Stegostoma tigrinum: one gene and its partner. The protein of the gene in region 2 interacts with the protein of the main gene of each other region in a pairwise test. Links are inferred from orthologs where the notes say so. Each region holds a gene or a part of one and is shown on either strand. Other genes may lie near its edges.

Region 1 (7,978 bases), on a different chromosome or scaffold from region 2:
TCCACTCGCTCTCCCATTGACACTCACCATCTCCACGCTGTCCCATTGACACACACCATCTCCATCACTTGCTCTCCCATTGACACAGTCCATCTCCACACGTTCTCCCATTGACACTCACCATCTCCACGCTGTCCCATTGACACACACCATCTCCATCACTTGCTCTCCCATTGACACAGTCCATCTCCACATGCTCTCCCATTGACACACTCCATCTCCACTCACTCTCCCAATGACACACACCATCTCCACTCGCTCTCCAATTCATACACGCCATCTCCACACGCTCTCCCATTGACACATACCATCTCCACTCGCTCTCCCATTCATACACGCCATCTCCACACACTCTCCCATTGACACATGCCACCTCCACCTGTCGCTCTCCAGTTGACACACACCATCTCCACACGCTCTGCCATTGACACACGCCATCTCCACACGCTCTCCCATTGACACACACCATCTCCACTTGCTCTACCATTGACACACACTATCTCCGCTCGCTCTCCCATTGTCACACGCCATCTCCACCACTCACTCTCCCATTGACACACACCATCTCCATTTGCTCTACCATTGACACACACTATCTCCGCTCGCTCTCCCATTGTCACACGCCATCTCCACCACTCACTCTCCCATTGACAGAGGCCATCTCCAGTCGCTCTCCCATTGCCACATGCCATCTCCAACTCTCGCTCGCCCACTGGCACGTGCTAGCTCCTCACGTTCACCCACTGGCACATGCCAGCTCCTCACACTCACCCACTGGCATATGTCTGCTCCTCACGCTCGCCCACTGGCACATGCCAGCATCTCACTCCTTCACTTCCCCATCTATATCAGTTCTATATTATCCCTCGCAGCTCCAGTCCCCCCTCCTTGTGTCACTCCTGTCCCTTGATGATTCTCTCATTGGTCAGTCACATACATTGTGAACATTCTGGGTCCAGTCCCATCACAAGGTCCATGTGCTGCCATCCAAATTCCAGGTTCGTGTTCCACTGTTGGGTTGCAGTCAGTCAGAACTGTGTGGTGTGGGCTTGCAGCACTGCAGGCTTGGTGCTGATTCTTGGAGACCCGCAGGAATGCACTCGTCTAACAGCGAGAGAGGCTGGGTGTACTCTGAGAGGGGGACAATGATGGCCCCAGTTTGAGGGACCCCACAATGCTCCGGATCTGGAACTTCACCCTATCGCAGAACACGCTGCAAATCTCAGCATTTCTATGGCAATATTCCCAATGATTTCTCAACCCATTGAATAAATGGCCCAGAAGGAGAACCTTCTGCCAGTCTAGTCCATGATAGCTCTGGGCTGAGGAGTCAGCAAACATCAGTAGCAGGCTGGGCCTACCCTGTGCTTGGGGTCGTGGTCACAATCACCTGTTCCCCCCAGCAGCCTGCTCGACCAGTCAGTCAGATCTTCCCGGCTGCCCCTTGTACCACCAGAACCTCGGCATCTCTGTCTCCATCATCGGCAGAGCCTCCACCTGTGGAGCCTTTTCCCAGAGAGAGCTAAGCAGCCTCCTGGAGATGAGAACAAAACACTCTGTATCTCCTGGCTGTTCTGAATGGCTCAGCCCTTGTTTTCAGGCAGTGACTCCCTCGTCTGAGAGCAAACACACCATCCTCAGCCACAGGGTGGGGGTAACGGTTTGGGTTGGGATTATGGTTCGGGTGAGGCTCTCAGAATCTAAGATCTTTCCCTCAAAGCTACCTCTGTTCTCCCATGTTCCGTCTGACCTGGTCTGAGAGTCCTGGAGTCACACAGCTCGGAAACAAACATCTTATCCACATTGACCACGTTTCCCAAGCTAAAGTATTTCCCATTTCCCTGCATTTGGCACATCTCCCTCTGAACCCTTCCCATTCGTGCCCAAATGCCTTTTAAATGCTGTAACTGTACCAGCCTCGACCACTTCCTCTGGCAGCTCATTCCATACACGCACCACCCTCTGTGTGGAAAAATTGCCGCTCACATCCCTGTTAAATCCTTCCCCTCTTCACCAGAAAATCTGTGCAGTCGAGTTTTGGACTACCCCTCCAAGGGAAGAAGGCCTTAGATATTCACCCTAACCGTGACCCTCATGATTTTATAAACGTCTATAAGGTCACCCCCTCAGCCTCCAATCCTCCAGGGAAAATAGCCCCAGACTATCCAGCCCCTCCCTGTAGCTCAAACCCTCCAACCCTGGCAACATCCTTATCAGCCTTGCTGATTAAAAACCTGTTTCTCTCAGACATGATCATACTGAACAATACATCCCATGCAGCGCTCATGTGGTCAGTTTCACTTCACGACAGAGAGAAAGCAAAAAAAGGTTCCTGCTTTTTGTCGAGTGAGTGATCCGTTACTCTGAGATTGCATCCTCTTCCCCACCCTCCCGCCCGTCCCTCAGGCCCCAGTCCGTGCCTGACCCAGCCCATTGACTCAAAACCACAGCATTTTAACAGAGGGCCCGGGACAAATTTTGGAGGTGTGAAAGAAACAGAAGAAACCCCTGACACACAGACACAGAGGCTAGGTTCAGTCTCCCCACGGTAGGGACGTGATTGACTTAGAGCTGGGGTCCAATGTGAACTGAATTTGGATAGATATCCTGAATTCGCCTTGCACTGACTCGGTCCAGCGGCGATGGAGCGGTGTGACCTGAGGTCTGAGCCTGAGGGGGGTCCCTAGCCGCACCCCCCACCCCCCCCCCCCCACCCCCACCCCAACCTACCTGAGCTCCCCAGAGCCTGACCTGTGAATGCCAGCTCCAGGCCGCTGTGGGAGCGGGGCTCCGCGTTGGGCTGTCCTGCCTCCTCCCTGCTCCCACGGAATCCCCTGGGAAAGCTGCCTGGTGAAGTTTCCTGAAGCGACAAGATGTCCTGGATGAGAAACGACGTGAAAGCACGTCTCAATGAAGCCATGCTCTGTCTTTTGCGTGTGTGTGTCTGTCTGTGAGTGCGTGCCTCTGACAAATCCACGACCTCCACCAGTTTTGAGTTTTGGAAATCGAGGACAAATGGGAGGGTGGGAAGGACGGAGGGAGATGGAGCTTCTTATAGAAGGTGGCTGGGAGGCAGGCATCAGGTCGCCGTCCCAAGCCCTGCCCTGCACAGGAGGTGGGGTGGGGGGGGAACACTGTGCTGTTGTAGCTGACAACGCAGGCAGTCAGGAAGCTGGTGCCACAGGCTCTAGGGACTGGCATATATCCGCGCTGCCGTCCACACTGTGCCCCAGCTAAGGTCCCAGTTCTCTGAGCACCGAGCGCTGCTCTTTTGCAGCCTGTGTGTGTGTGTGTGTGTGTGTGTGTGTGTGTTTGCATGAGAGAGAGAAAAAGCTGGCCAACATGTCGTTCTGGAATGGCAGAGAGCGAATCTACGGCCAGCTCTCCCCACCCCGGGGCAATGCAGCTGGGAGAGGCGAACTGTCGCAACAAGGTTGGTGTGGGGTGTGGGGGGGGGGGGGGGGGGAGGCGGCGGCGACGCTTGAAGATACTGCAGGGATGAGGAGCTGGAGGAGGCCAGGGACATTCCGCTTCCCTGGGGAAAGAGAGGCAGGGCGAGCTGGTTAAGGGAATAGGACCGTCGCAGTCTCCATCCGCTTCCCCCTGCCATCATTTCCCCTGAGAATGGACAGGACGCGCCCCCCCCCCCCTTCCCCCGAGTTCTACACATCCCGTCCACCTCTCTCAGTCAGCTCAGCTGCTGGGAAACTTGTTCAGAGAAGGTCAGGAAAGAATGGGCCAGGCGCCTGCCAATGTACAGCTGGCGGGACAACAGCACACCCATCCCTTAGTCACTCAAACAAAAACCCCGCAACAAATGCATCAACTTTCCATTCTGCATTCGGCCCTTTTCCAGCCTCAGAAATCTTCCTTCTAGCCCCAAACCTCCTGAAACTGGGTTCCCATGGCATTCCAAATACAGGTTTTACAAGCTTCATAAACATACGGTTCAATGCAGTGCACTCCCTCCCGGGGTATCTTCTTCTCTGTACAAACCACCCCGAACCCCTCGATTAGATTACAATCTCTATCTCAATCCCAGGTCTCTGTGATTTTACCTATAAATCATCTGAGCACCTTGATTAGATTCGCTCCTAGGTATCTGTGATTCTATGCATAGGCACTGATATCAATTGTTTAAGTAAGGTGCAACAAAGGGGAAACAGTGTCCAAAATATATTTGAATTTCCAAACAAAAAAGGTCATTGAATAAGCTTCCACGCGTAAGGATACTTTGTAAGAGAAGATCCAGTGGTGACGGGTGTTTCGTGAGCACGGACTGAAGATAGTCTTCTAGTAGTTGGACAAAATGGAAGGATTAGGGATAAAGTTCAGGTATTGAGAGGACATTGAGTGGCAGAGCAACTTTGTAGATGGAATGTGATGTGGGAAATTATGGGTTAATGCACTTTGACAGGAAGAATACGAGAATAATGATCATTTAAACAGGCAAGAACTACGGAAAGCTGCAGCATAACGGGGTTTGGACGACTCAGAGAAGGTAGCGTGCAAGTTCAATAGATCATAAAGAGGAAAGATGGAAGGAAGAATGAAAGGAAAGATGGAAGGAAGAATGAAAGGAAAGAGGTCTTGATAAAACATTGAAATAGAGAGAGGCCGCGCAGAGACGGGCAATACATGAAGAATAGACACAGAGGGACCAAGATAAATAGACACAGGGGGACGGTAAGGGACAGCTTGACTAGCAGCTGAAGTTGGAGTGACAAATACAAGAGGAATATTGTCTGAAGAAGATTAAAACCAAGAGCTCAGAATCAGCCTGATAAACAAGGAAAGACTTTGACTCAAATGAGCGGTATGACAGGTCGGCACAACATCGAGGGCCGAAGGGCCTGTGCTATTCTGTAATGTTCTATGTTCTATGAGCAGCAAAAGGAAATCGGGGAGAGAGAGAAGTCTGAGGGAATGGATGACATAGATGGAGAGAGAAAACCCAGAAATGTGGTTGGAGATAGAGCAAGCCAGGTAGAGACAGTGAGGGAGAGGGGAGACAGAGGGAAGTGTCAGAGTGAGGGAGAGGGGAGACAGAGGGAAGTGACAGAGTGAGGGAGAGGGGAGACAGAGGGAAGTGTCAGAGTGAGGGAGAGGGGAGACAGAGGGAAGTGACAGAGTGAGGGAGAGGGGAGACAGGGGGAAGTGACAGAGTGAGGGAGAGGGGAGACAGAGGGAAGTGTCAGAGTGAGGGAGAGGGGAGACAGGGGGAAGTGACAGAGTGAGGGAGAGGGGAGACAGGGGGAAGTGTCAGAGTGAGGGAGAGGGGAGACAGAGGGAAGTGTCAGAGTGAGGGAGAGGGGAGACAGAGGGAAGTGACAGAGTGAGGGAGAGGTGAGACAGAGGGAAGTGACAGAGTGAGGGAGAGAGGAGACAGAGGGAAGTGTCAGAGTGAGGGAGAGGGGAGACAGGGGGAAGTGACAGAGTGAGGGAGAGGGGAGACAGGGGGAAGTGACAGAGTGAGGGAGAGGGGAGACAGAGGGAAGTGTCAGAGTGAGGGAGAGGGGAGACAGAGGGAAGTGACAGAGTGAGGGAGAGGGGAGACAGGGGGAAGTGACAGAGTGAGGGAGAGGGGAGACAGGGAAGTGACAGAGTGAGGGAGAGGGGAGACAGGGGGAAGTGACAGAGTGAGGGAGAGGGGAGACAGAGGGAAGTGACAGAGTGAGGGAGAGGGGAGACAGAGGGAAGTGTCAGAGTGAGGGAGAGGGGAGACAGAGGGAAGTGACAGAGTGAGGGAGAGGGGAGACAGAGGGAAGTGTCAGAGTGAGGGAGAGGGGAGACAGAGGGAAGTGACAGAGTGAGGGAGAGGGGAGACAGGGGGAAGTGACAGAGTGAGGGAGAGTGGAGACAGAGGGAAGTGTCAGAGTGAGGGAGAGGGGAGACAGAGGGAAGTGTCAGAGTGAGGGAGAGGGGAGACAGGGGGAAGTGACAGAGTGAGGGAGAGGGGAGACAGGGGGAAGTGACAGAGTGAGGGAGAGGGGAGACAGAGGGAAGTGTCAGAGTGAGGGAGAGGGGAGACAGAGGGAAGTGACAGAGTGAGGGAGAGGGGAGACAGGGGGAAGTGACAGAGTGAGGGAGAGGGGAGACAGAGGGAAGTGACAGAGTGAGGGAGAGGTGAGACAGGGGGAAGTGACAGAGTGAGGGAGAGGGGAGACAGAGGGAAGTGTCAGAGTGAGGGAGAGGGGAGACAGAGGGAAGTGACAGAATGAGGGAGAGGGGAGACAGAGGGAAGTGACAGAGTGAGGGAGAGGGGAGACAGAGGGAAGTGTCAGAGTGAGGGAGAGGGGAGACAGAGGGAAGTGACAGAGTGAGGGAGAGGGGAGACAGAGGGAAGTGACAGAGTGAGGGAGAGGGGAGACAGGGGGAAGTGTCAGAGTGAGGGAGAGGGGAGACAGAGGGAAGTGACAGAGTGAGGGAGAGGGGAGGCAGAGGGAAGTGACAGAGTGAGGGAGAGGGGAGACAGAGGGAAGTGACAGAGTGAGGGAGAGGGGAGACAGGGGGAAGTGTCAGAGTGAGGGAGAGGGGAGACAGAGGGAAGTGACAGAGTGAGGGAGAGGTGAGACAGAGGGAAGTGACAGAGTGAGGGAGAGGGGAGACAGACGGAAGTGACAGAGTGAGGGAGAGGGGTGACAGAGGGAAGTGTCAGAGTGAGGGAGAGGGGAGACAGAGGGAAGTGACAGAGTGAGGGAGAGGGGAGACAGGGAAGTGTCAGAGTGAGGGAGAGGGGAGACAGAGGGAAGTGACAGAGTGAGGGAGAGGGGACTCAGAGGGAAGTGTCAGAGTGAGGGAGAGGGGAGACAGAGGGAAGTGACAGAGTGAGGGAGAGGGGAGACGGGGGAAGTGACAGAGTGAGGGAGAGGGGAGACAGAGGGAAGTGTCAGAGTGAGGGAGAGGGGAGACAGGGGGAAGTGACAGAGTGAGGGAGAGGGGAGACAGGGGGAAGTGACAGAGTGAGGGAGAGGGGAGACAGGGGGAAGTGACAGAGTGAGGGAGAGGGGAGACAGAGGGAAGTGTCAGAGTGAGGGAGAGGGGAGACAGAGGGAAGTGACAGAGTGAGGGAGAGGGGAGACAGGGGGAAGTGACAGAGTGAGGGAGAGGGGAGACAGAGGGAAGTGACAGAGTGAGGGAGAGGTGAGACAGGGGGAAGTGACAGAGTGAGGGAGAGGGGAGACAGAGGGAAGTGTCAGAGTGAGGGAGAGGGGAGACAGAGGGAAGTGACAGAGTGAGGGAGAGGGGAGACAGAGGGAAGTGTCAGAGTGAGGGAGAGGGGAGACAGAGGGAAGTGACAGAGTGAGGGAGAGGGGAGACAGAGGGAAGTGACAGAGTGAGGGAGAGGGGAGACAGGGGGAAGTGTCAGAGTGAGGGAGAGGGGAGACAGAGGGAAGTGACAGAGTGAGGGAGAGGGGAGGCAGAGGGAAGTGACAGAGTGAGGGAGAGGGGAGACAGAGGGAAGTGACAGAGTGAGGGAGAGGGGAGACAGGGGGAAGTGTCAGAGTGAGGGAGAGGGGAGACAGAGGGAAGTGACAGAGTGAGGGAGAGGTGAGACAGAGGGAAGTGACAGAGTGAGGGAGAGGGGAGACAGACGGAAGTGACAGAGTGAGGGAGAGGGGAGACAGGGGGAAGTGACAGAGTGAGGGAGAGGGGTGACAGAGGGAAGTGTCAGAGTCAGGGAGAGGGGAGACAGAGGGAAGTGACAGAGTGAGGGAGAGGGGAGACAGAGGGAAGTGACAGAGTGAGGGAGAGGGGAGACAGAGGGAAGTGACAGAGTGAGGGAGAGGGGACTCAGAGGGAAGTGACAGAGTGAGGGAGAGGGGAGACAGGGGGAAGTGACAGAGTGAGGGAGAGGGGAGACAGAGGGAAGTGACAGAGTGAGGGAGAGGGGAGACAGAGGGAAGTGACAGAGTGAGGGAGAGGGGAGAACTGAGAGAAATCACACAGAGGGAGGGAAAGGCTGAGGGAAGTGACC
Region 2 (7,417 bases):
ATCCATTCATTGAGCTAAAAATTGGTCTTTTTCTTGTCCACTTCTTGCATCATGACAAGTTGGATTTTAATCTCAGCGGAATGTGCAAGATTCACATTCCAACTCAAATTAGCAAATCGGACCAGTCAGGATGTTAAAAGTTGCAACACCTTGAATGAAATGTATTTGTTCAGGAGGAAGAGGAGCCAGAGAGACTGACATTATTTTCACTACAATAAGCCTGCATGTCTTATGTCACATATTGGCTAAATTGATCGTTTAAATTACAAAGTTGCCTAAAGCATTTTGCATGGTTTCATTGAAATTGTGGAGTTAACCCCTGAGATTTGGCGCACATCAAACGTCAATACAATTTTTATACAACCCCAGAGGGAAAATATGTTACAATATGAACAGTGTATTAGCGAACAATTCCAATCTCATCAACAGCACTATAGCTAATGGCAAGGAGCTGAAAGAGTCATGAGGAAGATGTACCAAGAAATTAAGCCCTATAAATTGAGAAAATCGAAAATTCTAGCCATGACTCATTCTACTTGGGTGGATTCTAATTATTGCTGGTCAATAGCAAAGTATGTTGCTAAGGGATTAGGGTTGAGGCTTTCGAATGTAGAGTAAGAAGAAGAGTTATAACTCTTGCACAGCAATTCAACTCCTTTTGGATCCATTAAAGTAATTCACATACCACCCACCAACCTGTACCTCCAATGAATTATTCTCTAGCACTTCCGTTACCTACAATCCAACCCTAAGTCTAAAGAGATATTTCCCTCCCCACACCTATCTACTTTCCGTAGGGATTACTCGCTCCTTGTCTGCTCCACGCTCCCACTCACCCCACAACACCCGGCACCTTTCCCTGCAACCGCAGGAAGTGCTACACCTGCCCCGACACCTCCTTCTTAACCTCCATTCAAGACCCAAAGCAAAGCTTTCACTTTCGACCTATACATCCTCTAACTTGGTCTCCTGTATCCGTCACTCCCGATGTGGCCTCCTCTACTTTGGTGAGATGAAACATAGACTCAGGGTCCATTTTGTAGAGCACCTGTGCTCTGTATGCAACAAACGACCACACCTTCTGGTCACCAACTATTTTAACTCCCCCTCCCAATCCCTTGATGACATGACCATTCTGGGCCTCCTCCAGTGCCACAATGTCACCATCCGCAAAATGGAGGAGCAACACCTCATATCCTGCCTCAGGAGCCTACAGCCCGATGGCCCTAACATAGAATTCACTAGTTTTAAAATCTCCTCACTCCCACCCTCATCCAATGTCCAACTCTCCCTCTCAATTCTGCCGCCTTGATCCGACACAACCTGTCCATCTTCTTCCCCACCTACCTATTCTACCCTTCCTGCCAACAAATCCCCACTAGCCCCTACCTGCATCCAACCTGTCACCATCCCACCTATTTTTCCCCAGCCCCACTCATCCTCCTTCCTGATTCCTTGACCTGATGCAACCTGTCCATCCTCTCTCCCACCTATCCACCCCACCCATCTCACTGACCAATCCACACAACTCCCTACCTGTATCCACCTATCACCATCCCATCTACCTTCCCCAGGCCCACCCCTGCTCTCTCTATTTATCTCCCAGCTCCCTTCCCCCTCCTCATATTTGAGGAAGGGTCCCTACCCAAAATGTCAACTTTCCTGCTCCTCTGATGCTGTGTTCCTCCACACTATGTTGTCTGTGGTCTTGTTCTTTTCGACAATAGCTTACACAGTGCAACTCAACTCCACAATGACGATCGGGATCCTATCTACATCACAGAACCCAGATTTCCATATCAATCAAAACCCCAGTGACCTAAACTACCAGGTTCTCCAGCTGCTGAGTGATGCTTGGTCAAGCTGATTGGGAGTGAAATAACGTGCATTAAAATTAAGAGTTCTTGCACCCAGTTTCTGCTCATCAAGAACCAGTGAAGCACCTCCCTCCCAGTTTTCTTCCTAATCCATTCTATCCCAAAAAAGTGTGAATTATCGAACTCCTTACTGAACTCTTTATTCCTCTGCTCTCTAGGTATTTAAAGGCCCCTACTCAGATTGCAATTAACTATCTCTTTACAGTTTTAATCGCTTCATCTCTCATTTCTTTCAAGCTAGATGCTTTTTCAATCCTTTTCATTTAAAAGAAATTCTCCCCGTATCCATTTCTTGGTGCTATTTCAAACTCCCCCGTCTTTATGAATTGCCAATTCTCTAAATTCAGTCCATTTCTATTTATGTACCATCTACGCTTTTCATCCATAATTTGATAAGAGGACTCCGGGTTGTCCCAGTGAGATTAGAAAAGCATGAGTGTATCTCTTTCGGAGGGATACAACAAATAGAGGACTAACATTTCCGCATTACAACAGTGACTACACATCAAAAGGTACTATCATAAAATCCCTACAGAGTGGAAGCAGGCCATTTGGCCCATCAAGACACACTGATCCTACAAAGTGCATCCCACCCAGACCTACTCCGTCCCTGCAACCCTGCATTTTCCATGGCTAATCCATCTAGCCTGCACATCAGGGGCAATGAGGCATGATTGATCCATCGAACTGGCTCATTTTTGGACTGTGGGAGGAAACCCACGCAGACACAGGGAGAATGCGCAAACTTAGACAATTGCCCGAGGGTAGAATTGAATGCAGGTCCCTGCATCCTAATCACTGATCCACCATGTCGCTACTTTATATACCATAAAACACTTTGATACGCCTGGTTATCACAAGACCATAAGATATAGAAGCAGTATTAGGCCATTTGGTCTATTGTGTCTGCTCTGCCATTTGATCATGGCTGATGTGTTTTTAAAATGGAACAAAGAGACCGTGTGGTGTAGGTTCATAGTACCTTGAAGGTAGAGTCACAAGTAGACAGGATAGTGAAGAACGTGTTTGGTAGACTTGCCTTTGTTGGTCAGTTCAGTGAGTATCAGTGTTGGGATGTCATGTTGTGGCTGTACAGGATGTTGGTTAGGCCACTTTTGCAATATTGCATTCATTTCTAGTCTCCCTGCTAAAGGGAAGATGTCGTTAAACTTGAAAGGGTGCAGGAAAGATTTACAAGAATATTGCCAGGGTGAAGGGTTTGAGCTATAGGGAGAGGTTGAATAGGCTGTTGCTATTCTCCCTGGAGTTGTCAGAGGTTGAGAGTGGTTTTATAGAGGTTTATAAAATCATGAGGAGCACAGATAGGATGAAAAGCCAAGGTCTTTTTCCTAAAGTAGGGGAGTCCAAAATAGAGGACATAGCTTTAAGGTAAGAGGGGAAATATATAAAATCATCCTAAGAGGCAAATTTTTCACACAGAGGTGGTGTATGTTTGGAATGAGCTGCCAAAGGAAGTGGTGGAAGCTGGTACAATAACAACATCTAAAAGGCACCTGGATGCGTACTTGAATAGGAAGGATTTATAGTGATATGGGCCAAATGCTGGCAAATGGAACCAGATGAATTTAGGATATCTGGTTGGCATGGACACGTTGCACTGAGGGGTCTGTTTCCACACTGTACAACTCTATGAATCCTGCCTTCTCCCAGAAACCCTTGATCCCCTTATTAATCATGAACATACCTAACTCTATCTTAAATATATTCCCCCTCATCCTTCTAATCTACATCGATTACAGACCCAGAGTCCTCAACTACTCCTCATATGACAAGCCCTTCATCTTGGGGTCATTCTTCTAAACTTCCTCTGAACTACTTCAAATGTCAACACATCCTTCCTTAGATAAAGGACACAAAACTGCTTATAATATTCCAAATGAGATCTGACTTGAATCTTATAGAGCCTCAGCTCTTGTATTGTAGCTCTCATGAAATGAATGCAAGCATTGTGTTTGCCTTCCTGACTGCTAACTGAACATGGAAATATTCATGGAAAGAATTTTATAAATACAAACATTTCATTTCAACATAGAAATATTAATTAAGAATAATATTAGTCAATAGCAATATTATTTGAAAGCAATACTATTTCCCATCCCCACAGCATAGTCCAGTTCCTGTTGAACCTGTTATTTGGGGAAAATCTCAGGTATGCAGCCAGACATGGCATACACCCCCTCTATAACCACACTGAGCTATTGGCATAATCAGTCTAGCCAGAAGGACCACCGCCAAGGATTATGCCCACTCCGAACCTCTAGATGGCTATCTTTACCCAAGGGCAGACCCGCAGGGAGGTCCTCTCAGAGCCCCAATCCCCAACCCCATCCAAAGGGCAAAATAGTTTTCAGTCTCAACTTGCTTCCTTGAATTAAGCAAAAAATGTACTGAAGAGTTAATCACTGGCTGGGATACATAAAAAGTCAACTGATGCAAGCCTATTGTGTTTGCACAGGTAAACAATGTGTGATTATAAATTCAGCCACTGCCTTCAGCTGCTATAACCAGACAGGAAACATCAGCACAAGGTGTATTGTGGAGCTGTACCAGACACAGTCCTCAGCCAAGCAATCTGACGGTGGATACAAAGAATTCTTTTACTTTTTTTGCACAAGGAGAAAGGTGCTGAGTGGAGGTAAGTCTGATGTCTATCAACATCCATTCATGAAAAGCAGTTAAACTGTATTAAAGCAACTCACTATAGTAAGGGCCTAGAGTGATTTTAAATGTAATAGATTAGGAAGGACACAGCATTAACTGGCAAAACCTGCTGGATTACTTTTCACTGCATGTTGCAATTTTTTTTTAATGGTCTTCTGCCTTTTGTATTGATCAGAATAAATTATATGCAGGCTTAAACTTTGTCTTAGTGTAACTCAACTGCTTAAGTTTAACTTGGTCTATTCAAAAGTGCCTGAGTTTATAGATATTATAAATCATAAGAAAGGTGCAATAAAGATTTAAGTGGCATTGGTTTACAGGATACTCCAGCACAGGAGGCCATTCAGGTTCTTTGAAGGAGTTATGCAATTTGACCTACTCCTTTGCTTTATTCTTATAGCACAGTGTTATTTTTTCTTTTTGAGTTTATACACAAGTGATAGCCCTACACTTGCCAAAGCCAAAAACAGCGAGCTTGTCTGAGATTACAAACCAAATGTAACCAGAAAAACTTCATTATCTCCCATATTTCCCTCTACAATATTGCATCAAATCCATAGATGTGGGTCACATTCTATTCCTGCTCTCCTACATGAGTTGCCTAATCCCTTTGACAATAAATGCAAATTGTCATGCCTCCAATGTGGACAGCTGTCTTAAGGATGGGTATTTGTTTTATTTCTTTACCACATTCAGTGTGGAAGGCATGTGCTGTTTGAAGCAAGTAGGAGATAGCTGATCATTAGTAGTGTAAATGTGAGTTTTTCCAGTGGATCACTGGGTATGGTAGAAGAGCCCAAGGAAGTCTTTGTTCCAATCCTCAGTCTGTGTTGACTATGGCTGATCTTAGTCAGAGTAGGGCCATGATCAGAGACACTAGGTTCTGGCTGCCTGGTCCAAGTGTTGGAAAGTATACGTATGTTTGCATCACACAATCACGGGATTCAACTTGGCTATGAGGCATCACACAGATTAATAGCTGGTTGGTGCCAACTCTCAAAGCTCACTCAGGATGAGTGGGCATTGGATTGGGGTACAGAAATTTGGCTGGTACAGAAACTTGGCTGATGGCCTGACAGTACCATATAAAGGGGAATAGATGGGGGGAGGTAAATAGCCACCCTTGTGAAAAGTATGAAATACAGGTTCAGCAGGAGATACTCTCATATTGGACCAATGTTGTCCTTTGCTGCAGGTCTATCTACTGTTCTTTTTTGAGCACAGTAAACGCATACTGTGCTTTATGTTTCATGTAAAATGGTGTCTTTGTTTATTGGTCAAGAGCTTAAATTTACCACATTTTTAGATGGGGAGTGAATATTCTGTTCCATGATTTCATAGGGTCAAACAACGGTTTGAAACATCTTGTCGAATTTCCAGAAAAGTCTGATACTAAATAGTTTGCAAAAGCAAAGCCAGAAAATTACTCTGAATTAAGTTGCATGTCTAAGTCAAAGGGACATATGACCAAATTATTAACAGATAAATTTAACATTGATAGAGGGTTAGAAAGAAAATTGACCTCAGGGAATTCTTACAAATTCTGATTGATACTTGGAAATGAACACCTGGCTAGAGGACTAGGTGAACTTTCCTGTTGAGTGTTAGGTGTAGAGGCTGGGGTGGGTGCATGGATTATTTCAATGCCATGTTCATGTCAAACAAAAAGTCACCATGACCAGAGCAAAACCCATCCATCCAGCTCTGGGTGACACCCTTGATGTTGGCGCCTTATGCTTCTGTCATCTCCGGGGTGCAGCAGCAAACAATATGCAGTTACCTTCTCTAAGAGGTGATCTGTGGGATTGAACCCTAATCACAGGGCAATTACAAAGAAGGTAGTCCATTCAGCCCACTTAATTCACCCACTGCCCTATCCCAGAGACCATTTGAGCATTGATCGACTTTTGTGTGAAAAGGATTCCTGATACAAATTCAAAATACCATTTTGGGCTCATTGACCTTCTCACATAATTGCGTTTGTAGGATATTTTTCACTATTATTTGTTAAAAGGTCACCTATTGGACATTGCCTTTCCGAATGGAAAGACTAAATGCCAACTGTAGTCCAAAATCATTAGGAAGGGCAACCAGCCTTTGAGAAACTTCTTCTAACACTGGACTTCTCACATTGGAGGGCAGATTTGGGAAACATGGCTGTGAGAGACAGAATCTATGACTGTCAATAATTCACGTACTTCACTGATCTCAGACTGTAATTCCTTAGAAGGACTGCAGCTCCAGTTAAACTGTTCCTTGAAGTGCTAACATTTAGAACAGAAAAACTTAGGTTCACTCTGCTTATTGGAATATGCACAAATCATTTCAGTAACATAAGTCTGTGAAATATAAATAGTTAAAGTGGCTTGAAGAGACTGAGAGAGTACAGATCAAGGTGAGTTGGTAGGTGCCCAGATGAAGTGACAGTCTTTATTTTTGTTTTTGGTAAATTGGAGGTAAAGCTCATTTATATCTATATTGCTAAGAGTCTGGAATAGATCAAATCAATGCAAAATGTGCTGTGTCAGTGTGTATTTGAATTGAGAACAGTATTACACACAAGTGTGATGGCTTCAAGGTTGAATTGCCTTTAGCCAAACACAATAAACACACACACATGAAGAATGGCTACTTGTGTCAGCTGAAGGATCACTGTAAAATGCACTTGAACTCTCCAAGAAAGATGAGGAGAAAACTACATAGGAGAAAATACCATGGATGTATGCAGATTATATTTCTGCTTTCTTTCATGGGATGATAGCATCACCAGCTGGGCCATGCATTTATTACCAATTCCCTGATTACCATATGGGGTGGTGGGGGCCACCTCCATGACATGGTGCAATCATTGTAGACTG

The links. The genes of interacting proteins can lie anywhere in the genome.
Region 1: the proteins of SAM pointed domain-containing Ets transcription factor (region 2) and homeobox protein Nkx-3.1 interact in a two-hybrid assay, tested with the Homo sapiens proteins (2 studies listed by BioGRID). The link is inferred for Stegostoma tigrinum from reciprocal best matches to the Homo sapiens genes SPDEF and NKX3-1.

Annotation. Positions count from the first base shown.
Region 1 is NC_081393.1:5,424,143-5,432,120, reverse strand, and holds the start of homeobox protein Nkx-3.1, read right to left. Parts: upstream 3,008-7,978; 5' UTR 2,921-3,007; coding exon 2,731-2,920; intron 1-2,730.
Region 2 is NC_081374.1:38,396,638-38,404,054, forward strand, and holds the start of SAM pointed domain-containing Ets transcription factor, read left to right. Parts: upstream 1-4,414; 5' UTR 4,415-4,533; intron 4,534-7,417. UniProt on the Homo sapiens protein: May function as an androgen-independent transactivator of the prostate-specific antigen (PSA) promoter. Binds to 5'-GGAT-3' DNA sequences. May play a role in the regulation of the prostate gland and/or prostate cancer development.